Cricetulus griseus: one gene and its partners. The protein of the gene in region 2 interacts with the protein of the main gene of each other region in a biochemical or structural test. Links are inferred from orthologs where the notes say so. Each region holds a gene or a part of one and is shown on either strand. Other genes may lie near its edges.

Region 1 (4,881 bases), on a different chromosome or scaffold from region 2:
ACTATATTAATTGAAAATTTTATGCAAATATCACAAAGAAAAACAGCACATTGATTACTGTGGCAGTTCTTCAGTTACTTAAAAGGCAGTTGTCCAAAGCATTTGTTATAAAAGAATGAGGTGAGGCTTCTGCCAAACATTTCAGACATAGGTGAAATTTAAAATTTTTCTTTAATTGCTTTTAATACTTCTTAAATCTTTTGATTTCTGATACAGAGATCGAGACCAGTGCTGCATGCACACAGACAACCACCGTGCCACTGAGACAAATTGTAGCCCAGATTATTTCTAATCCTTCAGGCTAATTATTGATGATAGTTTTATATATTTGGTGAAAAATAAGAGGAAATCATGTTGAGTGGAATAGCTTATTTAATAAAAATCAAGTTTCCTAAATATGAAAGTGCACTTGGTTACACATTTCCACAAAAGCTCTGCAAAGGAATTGTACTTTTATGAACTACATTATTTGTGGAAAAGGGAAGGAAATTCAAAGACATTAACTTCCTCAAGATCCTAAAGGTAGAAGTGATGTAGCTTGTATTAAATTTATGTTTGTTTGATAAGTTATAGCCCAATTCCCTTTCACTTTTTTCTAGCCTATAAGTTAACCCCAGCTTCTTGTTTTGATAAATAAAAACTGAAACAGCACCACACTGGTTATTGCCCATGGTTGCTTTCACACTTTAACAGTAGACCTGATTATCTGAGACAGATTGGCCGAAATAAGTTTGAAAATTAACAAAAGTTGACCAAAATCTTAACTTAATTCTTACCTTTAGACCTCACTTTTCATAGTAAATTCTATGCATGTGTTTGGCTTTTTTTTGTTTGTTTGATTGGTTGGTTTTGTTGAGACAGGGTTTCTCTGTATTGCTTTGGAGCCTGTCCTTGAACTCTGTAGACCAGGCTGGCCTCAAACTCACAAAGATCCACCTGTCTCTGCCTCCCCAGTGCTGGAATTAAAGGCATGTGCCACCACCACCCACGTTCAGCTTTTAATTAGACTCCAGAACATAACCAGCAATTGATTAATTATATATGTATTAAATATAACAACATTGATAATTTTAGTAACATTAGACTTATTGAAACATTATGCTTTTTACATAATTGCCTCGCAGTGAACAACAAAATTAATCTTTGAAAAATCTAATCACTTTATTTGCCTAAACTCACAATTAACAATAAAACATGAAAGTGTTCTACTTGATAAGATCTGTTTATTAACTAGAAAGAATAATAAATTAATATTCAGTAACTTCTACATTTGCTTAAAATTAATGCTCTAGCTGGAAGGTGGTGACACATGCCTTTAATCCCAGTACCAGGAGGCAGAGGCAGGTGGATTTCAGTGAGTTCAAGGCCAGACTAGTCTAAATAGTGAGTTTCAGGACAGCCAGAACCATAAGAGAAACCCTGTCTCAAAAAAAAAAAAAAAATTAAAAAAGAAAATTAGGTGACTAGTTGTCTAAAAAGAAGAAAGATAACATTCACTAAGTAACTAATTAAAAAATGTAGTCATGGGTCTATAGTTGCAGGATGTGGGAGACTTTGAGGCCCTGAAAAATCTACAAATAACTGATTTTATATTCTGGATTCTATCAAAAACATTGACCTCACTGTTCCCAAAAGAAGCACTTGACTCACACCTTTCTCTTTTAATATTCATTTCAAGACTTTCTGAAAGGTTGTTTTGAGGTGGAAAGGGAGTCAACATAAAAACAATCTATGAGGAATGAGCAAAGGTGATATGCTAGAAACTTTGAAAGTTCATGAAAGGTTTTTTCCCACTAATCAGTTAGAGCTGGAGCGCCAGCACAGCTTCCCACTTTTGGTAAGTCTCAGTCTCAGTGTGTGGCCTCTCTGTCACCTCTGCCACTTGTCTGTTCCATTTCCATCTTAAGGTTGACCCTTTGCCTTCTACTGAGATAGAGGCCCCCTAAGAAGGTAGGGAAGCTCAGAGAAGCACAGAGGGGGCAGGTGAGTCATGCATCCTTGCTCCCTTGTGCACCTGGGTCTCTGCTGGAGATGAATGTGCATGCATACATATATGTCTTTTCCCTCCATCAAAGTACTGGAAGTGCAACCAGTTTAACACAGGGAAAGCCAGTAAACAGTGTTGACCTCTGTCTCAAGGTTTACACTTAGGCACAAAAGGCACCGAGTATCAACCTCTTGCTCTTTCCTGTGTGCATCATCCAGGTGATTACACAAACACATCTGAGGTTCCTTGAGCTTCATCTCAAAAGGGAGATCCACTAAGAACAACTTGCCTTTTTTTTTTTTTCTATTGGGGGACCAAAGTAGGTGTATTTTCACAGATATTAAATACAATCATACTACAGTTTTATTTTTAAAATTGCAATTAACAAGTATTATCTATGGTGATGATGAAAGAAGCCAAAGTCCCGTGAGGGCCTGGGACTCCTCTTGTTTTGTTTTGTTTTGTTTTGTTTTGTTTTGTGATGGGATTTCATGTAGACTGGACTGACCCTGAACTCACTATGTAGCTAAAGATGATCTTCAACTCCTGACCCTTGGGCCTCCATGTCCCAAATGTTGGGATTCCACATGCCACCATCCTGCTGCTGTAAATGGGTCTGATTCATAAGCATATTCTTAGTTATTTTTCATGGGTTGCCAGTTTTAAAAATCCCAATGTGCTCACACACACACACACACACACACACACACACACACACACACACACACACAGAAACATGGAAAACCCTAAGTAAGCAATAAAATTAAGTATTCTAAGGAAAGAAAACATTGTTCCCATTTGTTTCTGAGAGCTAACAAGCAGATTCACAATTCTCTCACCTCCACATACCTGTCACTCTCCTGAGAAGCAGCTATGTGCATGAATCAGACACCACATGCCAGCACTGAGTGATTAGCCACTCCAACTCATCAGTCACGGCACCACTACCTACCTACATAGAGGACTCCCTCTTTTGTCTTTCCTGCTGCTTCTGCCACACCCTGCTTGGTTTTTTCAGCAGCAGCCACAACTCCTTCCTTGGCCTTGGAAAGTCCTTTCATGAACACATCCATGGCGAAAGATGTCTTTTCCTCCACTCTAGAGAATACACAATACACTTTGAATTAAAAATTTGAGTAAAAGAAAACAAGATTAAAGCAGCTAGAATGGGAAGAATTTTTTTAAAAATCAAGGAAGAAATCACTGAAAAATCAGTAGAGACCCCCCCTCCCCAATCTCTGTGTAAATGAACACTCGTTTTTTTTGTTTGTTTGTTTGTTTGTTTGTTTGCTTGCTTGCTTGCTTGTTTTGAGGACTGGGCATGGTGTTGCTTGTCAGCTTTTTCACTCAAATCTAGGAAGAGTCAAGCCACTTAAAGATGGGATGGATCCAGATGGATCACCTGGCCATTCTTACAGCAGCTGGAAAATGGAGTTACATGGCAAGATGGGTGGACTCTACCCCATCAAGTTCCCAGGGCCTAAAGGCGACATTCTAAGTAAAAAGCTTGTCTAGAAAACCAATGGAAGGGGGTACTGAAGTCGGGGGCAAGGGTAAAAGGACTCAGAAAGGGGTTAGTAAGTGTTTAGTCTTAGGAGAGGGGAAGGAAGGGAACTGCTTACTTCAAGATGAAGGGAACAGCACGCCAACTGTCATCAGCCCAGCTGTTCAAATCTAACAAGACCTTCCACCCACTGCTAGCTCTCCAGTCTGTTATCTGCCCGGAGCAGGCGCTGTCCACACACTTGAGCCGGCTCACTTCAGCTCTACCCAACCTGGGGGCCCTGTCCTCAACTGGAATCTGCTTGAAAACCCTGCACCCCCGTGCTCATTAACCCCTTATCACCTGTTGCCAAGTGCCTTAGGCACTTTTATTAATCACTGGCCAAATGTAGCCTCCTTACACTCCAGATAAGAGATAGAACGTGCCCGGGGTGGGGGATGAAAGTTGGATGCTCAGGTTTCTCCCAACGCCCAGCGCTCAGCTTCCAGGACCCAGCACCCAACACGAAACACCCTGGCGTTTCCGCTCGAAAAAGCAGATGCCACGAACAGCCTGGTTTCCCCTCGGGCTTTGGGAGAATGGAAGAGCACGTCTCTAGCGCGAGGAAAGCCAAGTAATGTACTTTCAATGCACTGGCCGTGTCCCCACCGCTGAGGTAGCCTCAGCTGGAGATCTCCCAGGCATCGGGACTCCTCTTAGCCAGGGTTCTCCGGGATCCCCAGAGCTGCTGCTATCTACAGGTACTTACCGGCGCCCTTGGCTTCGCAGAATTCAGATTCCTCCTCTCTGCCCCTGATCTTATTTCAGTGGCAGTGGAAAGGAAGGCTCTGGGCGGAGGGGCAGGGGCAGCACCTGCTGGTCTCCTGCCGTCTGCTGCTAGGCGCTCTGGCTCCCCGGCTCCTCCACGTCGCCCCCGCAGCTGATTTGTCAGCGCCTCTCCCCGCCCCTCGCCTGCCTCGTGCCTTCGTCCCTTTCCTGGGGAGGGATGGGATGGAGATGCGTGAGGGCTGCGGGTTCCAGAAGCACGCTCCCCAGGAGGAGGGAAGACAGGGTGGCCTGAGAGTCACCCCGAGTTCAGGGACCCCGGGCTCTATAGAGGTTGAACTTAGGCTGATGTCTTTCCTGCCCATCCCCCACCCCATCCCTGCCTCCGCCTGTTCCAGGTTTCTCTGGGCGACCCCTCCTCCGAGATGAGCTGGGACGCTGTCTGGACCGCCTGAGACTGCCTGTGTGCTGAGCCAGGCCCTGGGAAGGGAGAACACACCCTTTTGTATGCTTTTGTTCATACAGTATGAGATTTCCACTTCCCTTAAGCCTAAAAGGGTTCTGAGTGTGAAGAGGAGCCGACTAAGGAAGAGTTACAGGTCGAAAAGGCAAGGGGAGTCTCAGC
Region 2 (5,183 bases):
CCCCCCGCCAGAAAGATGGTTTTCTTTCTGGAGTTTATTAGCTCTTTCTACTGACCTTGTAACATAAGGTGCAAATTTGACAAAGTTCTGCTTGTGTATATTAAGGAACTTCCATTTATATGGGTCAGAGGCACAGAGAAGGGCGTGTAAAATGAGTGTGTGTGTGTGTGTGTGTGTGTGTGTGTGTCCGTGTACTTTTTATAAAAAAGAAAAATAGTCTAGGTTTGATAAGTTGAAAATTCTTGATGGGAAAACACGAGCAGAGTTCTGGGAAATGTTCCTTCACAATCTTTATTTTTCTTGGTAGGGCTCTTGTGGCACCTAAGCGCCATATAAACTTGATGGCTCTGAATTCCGAGGATTCGGAGCAGTGTGTTGATTCCACAAGGCTGGCTTCAAAGGAAAGCTATTACATGGGACACATTGCAAGGGATGAAAGGGAGAGCTAAAGTTGGGGAGTGTGGGACCGCCTTTCAGGGTGTACACCAGGTATTTGATCATTAAGGTGGGCCAGGCAAGGTGACTCTGTTGATCTGTTCTCTCTTCCTTCAGTGAAAATCCTAACCTCCCAGACAAAACCAGACACTCTGATGATTTCTTTTTAAAGGAAAATAGCACGTTCTTTCTGTTCTTGTTTCTAATTTACCACTGCACACAACACTTATTTTTAGGATCGAATGCCTTCCTTTTGTTTTTGTTTTTTTTTTTTGTTTGGGTTTTTTGGTTTTTCGAGACAGGGTTCTCTGTGGCTTTGGAGGCTGTCCTGGAACTCACTCTGTAGACCAGATTGGCCTTGAACTCGCAGAGATCTGCCTGCCTCTGCCTCCCCAGTACTGGGATTAAAAGGCGTGTGCCACCACGGCTGGCTCTTAGGGGAGGCTTCTTGAAAAAAGTAGAGTGACGAATTTCTCTTAACTTATTTAAAGTAGCTTCTTGCATTCCTGTACTTCGAAAGATTAAATGAAGGGCTTGCTAGAGAAATTCCCTATCTGGAATGTGGGAAGACTCCTACGGTGGCTAATAAGACGTCTCCAAGGTTTGCATATGTAAAGGACAAACTTAAAGTTGAATTTGGTATTTCACGTTGTGCCTTACAAAAAAAGCCCGAGCTTTTATCAAAGAACCAGGCAGCCCGGTTTCAAGTGGGTGGGTGTGTACTCAGCGCGGGCGCAGAGTTGGTTTTGTTCCCAGTAGAGTTGACATCGGCAATGGCGACTCGCGGCCACAACGGGGCAGCCTCTCCTAGGCTGGCCGCCCGGCCAGGCGAATCCTTTCGGGGAGCTGACGCGGTGAGCCAAGTCTGGCCTGCCATAGCTGCCAAGAATTTAAAGGGGGTCTAGAAACATGCATCGTCGCCCCTTTAACGCTCCTGGAGACTTCGGGTTAAGAAAAAAAAAAGAAAGATAAAAATGGAAACAATGGTTTTGTTGTTGTTTGCACGGCGTCTTCATGGTCCCCCTAAGGTCCACTCCACCGGGTCCCCAAGGCAGAGAAAAGCGGGGCAAGTAAGAGGGTCAGCCCGGCAGGCCCAGCCCGCCAGGGCGCGCCCCAGTCCAGGACTCTGCGGCGGGTGACCCAGGAGGCGCTGGGGGTGGGGTGGGCGTGGGGCGAAACACCACCACCCCCGCGGCCCGCCCCCCAACCCGGCCTGTGATTGGCTTGGGGGGCGCCAGTGCCCGCCCCGGCGAACGGGAGGGTCGCCGTGGGCGCCGGGCGGCGCAGGCGGGGCGGAGAGGGCGGGCCGGGCGGAGCAGGCGAGGGGCGGGGGCGCGGGTCCCAGGGATCGCTGAGCGGGGCTTGGGGAGGCCGGGAGAGCCAGCGGCGGGGGCGGGAGCCCGCGGGCTGAGCGCTGAGCAGAGAGAGCGCTCGGCCAGCCGCCGCTCGGCGCGCTCTCGGAGCCGCCAGTCCGCGCGTCCCCGCAGCCTTCCGGGAGGAAGCGGCGCCGCGGCCGGGTGCAGCCTCACCTGCCGGCCCTTCCCCGCCCGGCGGCGCAGAAGGACAGAGGGTCGCGGCCCCGCGACGCACTTCAGCCGATCGCAGCGTCTAGGACCCCGCGCGGGGCGCCGGCTCCATGGCGACCGGGCTCGGGGAGCCCGTCTACGGACTTTCGGAAGAGGAGGTGAGTTTCTGCCTAGAGCGTTGTGGGGAGAGGACGGGGCCACTCCGCTGCGCGCGTCCCTTGCTAGCAGTGGGTCCCGGAATCCGGGTGACCCAGAGCGGTCCGGAGCGGTGGGTGACTTGTCCGGGTGAAGCGCTCCGCTCCTCTGCCCGGGGCTCTCGGGGTGGGCGGAGGCCGCGTGAGTCGCTGCCCCGCGGGTCCCTTTCCTCTGCAAGCTGCGTCTCTCAGGGCTGTTAGGCAACTTTCCTGGTCATGCCCCTGCAGCCAGGAGTCCGTGACAAGTGTCACGTCTGGGTCGCTGCAGGGGTCTCTGCGTGGCGCAGGCTATCTGGGGATTGTTGAGGAGCCTGGTGGTGTCTCCTTCTGGGACTTTTCTTGCTAGTGGGCGCTCGGCAGCGGATGTGTGCAGATCCCGGGGGGGGGGGGGGTGACACCGGGAGAGTTGTGTACGGCCGCCCCTGGGTCTTGCAAAGTCTGGAGCTGGGATTGTGCGTTTCGAACTCCTCTATTTTGGTGTGTGGAGGTGATCTGAGAAGGAGGCAGGTGCTGCAGGAAACTTAGGGGAAGCTTGCAGCCCTGCCATTTCTCCTTCGTCAAGAGGATTCAAAGCCCCGCACCTCTGGGGTGGGTGGAGAGAAGAAAGCTCCATTGATCTCTTTTATTAATAAAACGAATGAAATAAGCCACACCCCCAAACGGTCGGTTTGACTGGAGAGGGCTTTGTTTTTAAAAAATCTCACTCGCTCATCGCGGTCCCCACTCCCCCTTTTGAAAGGATCCTGCTAAATCACTGCTCAGCCCTCACTCGACCAGCCATTCTCGACTCTTATTGGTGTGTTGCTCTGCCAAAAAGGGGGGTGGGAGGCCTGTCGCGGGCTCGGAGTGACAGGCAGGCTGGATGGAGCAGGTAGGAGTGGTTCGCCATCTGGCGGGGTGCGCGCCCAGGTCTGGCTCCCCTTTCGAGAGGTGAATTTACAACCCATGAAGCATTACTCAGCGGGGAGGTATTTCCTATCCTGGTTGTGCATTTCATGAAAAGTGGATGCCTGGAAATTTGGGCTTTCTTGATTTCTCTTTCTTACCCTCGCTCCTTTCTTTCTGAGGTTCTCTCTTTCTCTGGAGATGGGGGTGGGGTTTAAAGAGAGTCTATTATGTGAGACCGATTCACAGATTCACGTTATGGCTTTGCTTTCAGCAGCTTCCCTATTGGCATGTGTGTGTGTGTGTGTGTGTGTGTGTGTGTGTGTGTGTGTGTGTGTGTACTGCTTTCCTACTGTGGCATGGTGTGTGAGTGTGTGTATTCTACCTAAGTGTGGAATGAAATGGGTATCTTGAGGTAGGCAGGGCATGTAAGGGTTGATTTTATTTTTTGATAGTGCTTGCTGGATTGCTTATTTTATCAAAGAATGATCACAATGCAAATAATGTGTGATATGTTTTTGATTATTTGTCATGCTTGTGTAAAATAAAGTGTGTGTGTGTGTGTGTGTGTGTGTGTGTGTGTGTGTGTGTGTGTGTGCTGTTAGCTGTTACCTGGAGATGGGTGAAAGTAGACTTGTTTTGTTTACCCAGGGGATTCTCCTCCTAGCTCCTTGTCTAGAGCTGGAGGGCAGTCTGAGCTCTTGGAGGTGCTGAGATACTGAACAAAGGGCTCCCTGGATGAGGTATCAAGGGAGATGAAGACAGCTGCGTTTCTTCTTAGGGTCTCTTAATTTTTAAAAATAACATGCTTATTTTTAAAAGCTCCTTGAAAGAAATATTTTAAGGGTGTTTTGGGAAATGTATCTGCCTAAAGGAATCCTATCTGTCACTGGTGTGCGCGCGCTTTGTTTATGCTGGCAGCCAGTGTCAGAATCCACCTCAGGAGCATCTTGACACTTTTGTCTCCGAGAATCGCTGCTGATCCTGACTGGTGTGGGGTGTCAAAGTGGAGAACATAGACACAAGAACCGAGTGTGCCTGTGACTGTTCGCTCCTGCGTATTGTCAGAGGGACTGTATAGGGAATAGCAAGAGGAGATGAAAAACACTATTTATGTATTCTGTTTAGTTCCTCAAACATCATATATGATCCAAAATAAGCTGCATCTGCCTCCCTTTTTCATTTTTCTATCACCAATAGAAAATGATTGCCTTCATATTTCTAAGGCAATTGTTTGGTGTGGGAGGTTTCCCTCTGTTCAGGGAGGGGGCCATTTGAAGACATACAGAACTCCTTCATATAGTATTAACACCAAATTGTTAAATTTGCTTGCTTTGTCGCCTCTCCCGAATTAGTGTGTAAGCAAACAAATGAGAGTAATTAACAGGCTCTGAAAGTGGACTGCCTGATGAAATGAACAGCACTAGAGGCTTGTCAAGTTGTGTTAAATAGTGAGCACCAGAGGGCTGCAAGTATCACATGGAGACACCCGTGTAGGGGTAGAGAGGAGTCTACTTGTAGACCTTGAGAAAATCGGGCACTGTACCCAGGGTTTCCTTGTAGGTAGACATGTGTTCATGTTTGATAGTGGCAGAAAGCTTTATGTATTTGGAAGGAACTTAGTCATGCCCCATCTTATAAAGCCACTGTGAGCTATGTACTGCTATTGGTCAAGCATAGTGCTAACCTAGAGCATAGCAGGATGGCAGGGCCAAGACATCGCTGCTTGGGGCATCAGCCTAAGGTCTGGCTAGTGTACTGAATGAGAAGGATTAAGATATAGGTTTTGCTTCTGTGGGTGTATGTGCTACGTATGCATTGCAGCTGTATTTCCTTGGGTGACTTCTAATTCATACTCACTATAATTTAAGGCATGTCAGTTTCAGAAACCAAAATTGAAATCACTATTAGATGAGTTTTGGTATTGAAGGGATAAGCTAACGAACAACAGTTCATATTCATGGCTGAGGATAAGATTTGGTTTGGAATCAGAAAGGTTTGGACTAGTTTCTGCATCTGGGTTGGGTCCTTGAAGGGCTTTTTCTTGTTTGAGTTTATTTGTGGCCATCTGTAGCCTGTTTTGGTAAGGTTTACTCATGAATATTACTGTTACTCTTTTGAAACCTGTCATTACACCTGAGAA
Region 3 (5,029 bases), about 93 Mb from region 2:
GATTACTGCCTCGTTAAAACCGCTATACTCTCTGAGGGTAACTGGCCCCCTGTGTGAGCACTGATGCATTTAGAGAGCAACTTAGTACCTAGTGAAACTGAGGATCTCTTATGACATGGATCTTACAGCTAGCTTGAATGAAAACCACAGAAGGCCTTGGAGATCCTCAGTGAAACACTAAACTTACTTTACTTGTACTGAATCATACTAAGAAATTGCTTTAGAGTTTACTTTTTGTATGTAAAAGCCTTACTGCACATGTCTCTTTTGGAAAGGGGAGGTAGATCAGGCACCAAGTCAAGAGTGCCTACCTCAGGTGTGCCACAGAAGGTGGACGTGGTACCGTTGTGCTCAATGTTTTCCTTGCAGAGCCCAAAGTCAGTCAGGACAATGTGTCCCTGTGAGTCCAGGAGAATATTCTCTGGCTTTAAGTCTCTGTGGGAAAATGAAAAGTGGTTGCATAGGTTAATTTCACTTCATGACAAATCCCCTGGAAAGACTGCTAAAGGGATTAGGACTTTTAATCCCTTGCTGCTCCATAGCCAATCACAGAAAGGAGTCTTTGCTCTGCTGGCCTGGATTAGGAACCACCCTCTTGGCTGGCTCACATGCTAGGGAAGTTTTAGAAGTGACCGAATTGTACATAATCACATATTTTAAGACTCCAAAGGCTCCGCCAGGCCTCCCTCCTTCCCAGCCAGGTTGCTTTGCCTCCGACTTACCTATAAACTATGTTCAAGGAGTGCAGATAGCCCAAGGCACTTGCTATTTCAGCAGCATAGAAGCGAGCCCGTGGTTCTAGGAAGCAGCGTTCCCTCTGGAGATGGTAGAACAGCTGCAAGAGACAAAACAAAGCAAGGCTGAGTGGGGCCATTTAATCAAGTCTGACACATAAGCCTGAAGAGAAAGACTGCAGAAAGTGGCTTGAAATAGATTAATAATAAATTGATAAGTTCAAGAAAATGTTGATTCCTTGAACCAAGCAAGCTGAGCAGAGAAACCCCACCACCTCTAGAGGTCTATTCCCCCAGCTCACCTCTCCACCGTTAATGTAGTCAAGGACAAAGTACAGTTTGTCGGCAGTCTGGAAAGAGAAGTGGAGGCCCACCAGGAAAGGGTGCTTCACATTCTTCAGCAGAACGTTCCGCTCTGACATGATATGCTTCTCCTAGGAAAAAGGTGACATTCAGTACCAAATTCAGACTTCAGCCTGGCACCAAATAACAGGGTAAAGATAATCACTAAGGCCATCAGGTGTCACTCCTACCTCCTTCTTTTTCAGGATAGCCTTCTTCTGTAAAACTTTGACCGCATAGAATGCTTCTTCTGCCTTGTGTCTGGCTAGAAGAACCTGAAATGTCAATCAAACAAGTCAAATTTTTTTTCTATCCTCATCCAGGGAGAATGTGCAAATGAATGCACAAAAGAGCATAGTTTTAAAGCTGTCATATTTGAAAATTACCTTTCCAAAACTGCCCTTTCCAATCACTTTCAAGAAATGGAAGTCAGATGGTTTAGCATGAGGATTGGAGGACGGACCAAGGTTGATTTGTTGAGAAGGACTTGGCTAGAAAACAAAAACATCGCCCTTTAATATCTATGATAATATCTGTGAGTACGTAAAAGCTGCACACAGCCAACTGGTAGCAGATACAAGTTTATGAAATATGCCTTTCAAAACATTCCAGTGACTCAATACTTAAACACTTATGCCACTTGTTATGTTTTGAAGACATTCCTACCTTCACAATAAATAATTTTTTCAAATGATGTCTTAACTGACCACTACAGATTCATTTACCATTTCCCTCCAGAAAAGAGTACTTACCGGAGGAGAGGGGTTGGCGTTCATAAGCTCGGGCTCCTGAGGTTGGGAGATTTTCAAAATGGACTGAACTTCAGGGCTGCGGGGATTAAAGGACCGGTTTAGAAACTCTTAACTCGCCACCAGAGGGCACACCGACATAAGCTCAATTTCTGACTCAACCGTTCACCGTTTAAACCGAAAACATCTGAATGAATTACTTACAAAAACGTAGGTTAAGAAAATAACCCGGTTAAATATACAAATTGAGGTTGGTCCATCGAGAGAGGACGTGAAATTTGATAAACATGCACGCGAATTAATCTTACATCTCCAGGGCAGGTTCGACCCATAAATTAATATTAATGTTTAGAATTATTTCAGATAAGCTAAATGCTCAAGACCAAGAGATCTCTACCCCAGAGAAAATACTTCGGCTTCCCCCGATGAACAAAGTGGTAATAGTATGTCTTAGCGGCTGCTAAACTTAAACGATTCTTTTTATTTTCTTTAATTACCCCAAACTTACTGTTTGCATGCATAGGAGTTGTTGGCGATCTTCTGAATAAAGTCGTTCAGGCCCATCCTTCTCTGCTTCATGAAAGCTGTGAATTAAAAAGAGAGGAAAAAGAAAAGGTTTAGGCGGCTCCGTAACGTCCGACGCCACACGCTAATCTGATCCCGAACCTTCAAAACCCTCCAGCCTTTCACGTCGTCTCTCCTATTCAAGTCCGGTGCTTTTCCAGCACTCACCGATGAGAATCGCTACCATTCCCCTCATTCTGGAGTAAGTGAGGGTGCTTCGAGCAGCCTCGGTTTTCACAGTCATCGCCCCGAAAAGACCAGAGACAAGACGGAGCAGTGAAACCGGCTTAGCCAACAGCGCACCCCGGCCGCGCGGCAGCCTTTATATGCTCTGCGCCGCCGCGGGGGCGGGGCCGGCGGAACAATGATGAGGAAGCGGAGCTCCGGGCTCCGCCCACCTCGAGGCCCCGCCCCCGGCCGCCACTGCGACTGCTGACCGGGACCCGGGCGGATGCGGGTGGCTGGCCGCCTGATCCTGGGTGAGCTGTGCTGACCGCCCCGGCAGGGCCGAGGGTTCAAGGGCTGTGCGAGCAGGACCCGGGCTCAGGGGGACACTCGGCCTCCGTCCGCCCGGGCAGAAGGAGGGGACTGGAGGGGTGGAGAGCCCCGGTGATTTTCCATTTCCTCTCCTGCACTGCCCGAGCGGAGCGCCGCTCAGCACCGACCTCTCCCCTCCTCGCTCTCCCGACCCGGTGCCCGGCTCGCATCCGCCGGGTCCTGTGCGGCGCCGTCCTCCCGTCTCCATCCGACCTCCACCCACCCATACCCCTCCGGAGCCGAGTCCCCGCGGGCCGGGCGGCGGTGCTTACCCAGTCCGCTCAGCAGGACCGACTCGCTCCTTTTCTGCGCCTCCGCCCGCTTTTTGTGGCGGGGCCGGAGCAGGGACTCGAGCCGAGCCCGCGCTAGCGCACCCTGCATCTCCCCCATGGCCGCGGACTGAGGGGCGCGCAGCGGGCGACAACGACCGGCGAACACTGACGTTTCCTTGAAGGAGCCGCCGTGACTCAGGCCGGCAAGATTTCCTGCCCCAGTCCCAAAACAAACAAATGTCCCTTGTGCACGGCCGAGTCGCTTCCGAAAACGCCTTTTTTGTGCTTTTGGCCAAAACCAAGCAAGGCTGAAAAATCCCAGAACTTGGAAGAGGAGGAAGGAAGGAAGGAAAGAGCGGGGGGAGGGGGGTCAGGAATGTGTAGGGGAGGGGGCGGAAATAAGTCTCTGCACTACAAGAAAAAAAAGTACAATCTTCATTTCACTTTTTTTTTCAACTAATCTCCGAGAACATTCTGTCCGTTCCGCATATAATTTTTGTGCCTTGCAAATTTTAATCCTAGCCATGCCAAGAACACGTGAGGAGGTGTTAAGTTAGGGGGAGCAGGGGCTTCGCTCTGGGAGCCGACCTGGAGTGACCCTTGCGACGTCGATTCCCCTGCCAGGGGACCTGCTGCTCTCTCACAAGAAAATGCAAAATTGCGTTGCATCGCCTTAAGCTCCGTTCGTTATTCCGCATCTTCCCTACTCTCCTTTGAGTTACCTCACAGCGGGCCCAAGTAGTCTTAATTTTCTAACCTTGCTTTTTCTTGCAAGTTCACATATAACTGAAACTCGTTAACTCTTTAAAGGTTAAGAGACTCGTTTCAGAAAACTAGGAACAGAGGAAAGCTGCAGGAGGTAGCCTGAGCTGGCTAGAGGAGTGAGGTACCTTGCAGTAACCCCGCCGCTGGGGGATGCCTGGCGCTATAGCCTGACCGCCAACGCGGCGACCCGCGCCAGCGCTGGCTAGGAAGCCGGGAGCACCGGTCTGGACCAGGGGCGGGAACGTGGCTACAAGTAAGCAAGACTCTCAGAGCCAGTACCTGGCGCTGGCTGGTGCTGTCTGCGGTGACTGCCCTGCCATGACCCCTCGCTGAGAAGGGCCCAACATTTTAGAGCTGACACACTCCAAAATACCAGTTGTCAAGCCAGGAAAAGCATGCGAAGCTCTTTTCCCTCCGTATTGGGCAGGAGTTTGTTTTACAGCCACAGCCACCTCACATGCCCTAATGTGATCTCTAGTCTCAGCTGCTGCTTGATTTCCTCACTTTCAGACAGCCAGAGACCCGTTGAAGGGGACGCACATCCCCTCTTTGAAGACAAGATTTTGCTTTGTGGACACTCTTCAAAACGCACTTAGGGTGCCTGAAATTGGCACTCCAACCTAAAACAAGGTGTATAGGCAACTCCAAATCACAGCAGTTAGCCCATGCTGCTTTGTCCGTGCTTGAATTCTGCACAAACTGTGAATTTGTTATTGCCTGTGAGTGCCTCCAAAAACCACGTGGCAGCAGTCATTTATTTAGACTAGTCCTGCTGCACCCCATCCTGTACCCCCTCCTTCCTGGTTCCTTCCCCTCTGAAAAAAAAAAGGTTTGGTCTGAAACACCAGTCTCTGAAAGATTGCTTATTCGTTTTAAAACATGAAATCAAGACGTCTTCCATCAGAGACCCTCCCTACTATGTCACCTAACTTCAGAGCTTCCCCAAGCGCTTCTCCCAGGTATCTTTGTTTTAGCCATCCCATCCAAACTATAGTACTCAAAACACGAACCTTTCCAGGGGGATCTTAAAGCCTCCTCTTTCATTCTTCACAGTGCTGGAGATGTG

The links.
Region 1: of the proteins of Nedd4l (region 2) and Snca, one has a biochemical effect on the other in vitro, tested with the Homo sapiens proteins (3 studies listed by BioGRID). The link is inferred for Cricetulus griseus from reciprocal best matches to the Homo sapiens genes NEDD4L and SNCA.
Region 3: of the proteins of Nedd4l (region 2) and Sgk1, one has a biochemical effect on the other in vitro, tested with the Homo sapiens proteins (5 studies listed by BioGRID). The link is inferred for Cricetulus griseus from reciprocal best matches to the Homo sapiens genes NEDD4L and SGK1.

What each region holds. Positions count from the first base shown.
Region 1 is NC_048601.1:81,915,243-81,920,123, reverse strand, and holds the start of Snca (alpha-synuclein), read right to left. Parts: upstream 3,061-4,881; coding exon 2,940-3,060; intron 1-2,939. UniProt on the Homo sapiens protein: Neuronal protein that plays several roles in synaptic activity such as regulation of synaptic vesicle trafficking and subsequent neurotransmitter release.
Region 2 is NC_048595.1:174,384,588-174,389,770, reverse strand, and holds the start of Nedd4l (E3 ubiquitin-protein ligase NEDD4-like), read left to right. Parts: upstream 1-1,771; 5' UTR 1,772-2,071; coding exon 2,072-2,119; intron 2,120-5,183. UniProt on the Homo sapiens protein: E3 ubiquitin-protein ligase that mediates the polyubiquitination of lysine and cysteine residues on target proteins and is thereby implicated in the regulation of various signaling pathways including autophagy, innate immunity or DNA repair.
Region 3 is NC_048595.1:267,813,734-267,818,762, forward strand, and holds the start of Sgk1 (serine/threonine-protein kinase Sgk1), read right to left. Parts: upstream 3,392-5,029; 5' UTR 3,317-3,391; coding exon 3,199-3,316; intron 2,709-3,198; exon of another isoform or gene 2,634-2,708; coding exon of another isoform or gene 2,558-2,633; intron 2,410-2,557; coding exon 2,334-2,409; intron 1,905-2,333; coding exon 1,829-1,904; intron 1,568-1,828; coding exon 1,463-1,567; intron 1,352-1,462; coding exon 1,268-1,351; intron 1,169-1,267; coding exon 1,037-1,168; intron 836-1,036; coding exon 723-835; intron 436-722; coding exon 312-435; intron 1-311. UniProt on the Homo sapiens protein: Serine/threonine-protein kinase which is involved in the regulation of a wide variety of ion channels, membrane transporters, cellular enzymes, transcription factors, neuronal excitability, cell growth, proliferation, survival, migration and apoptosis.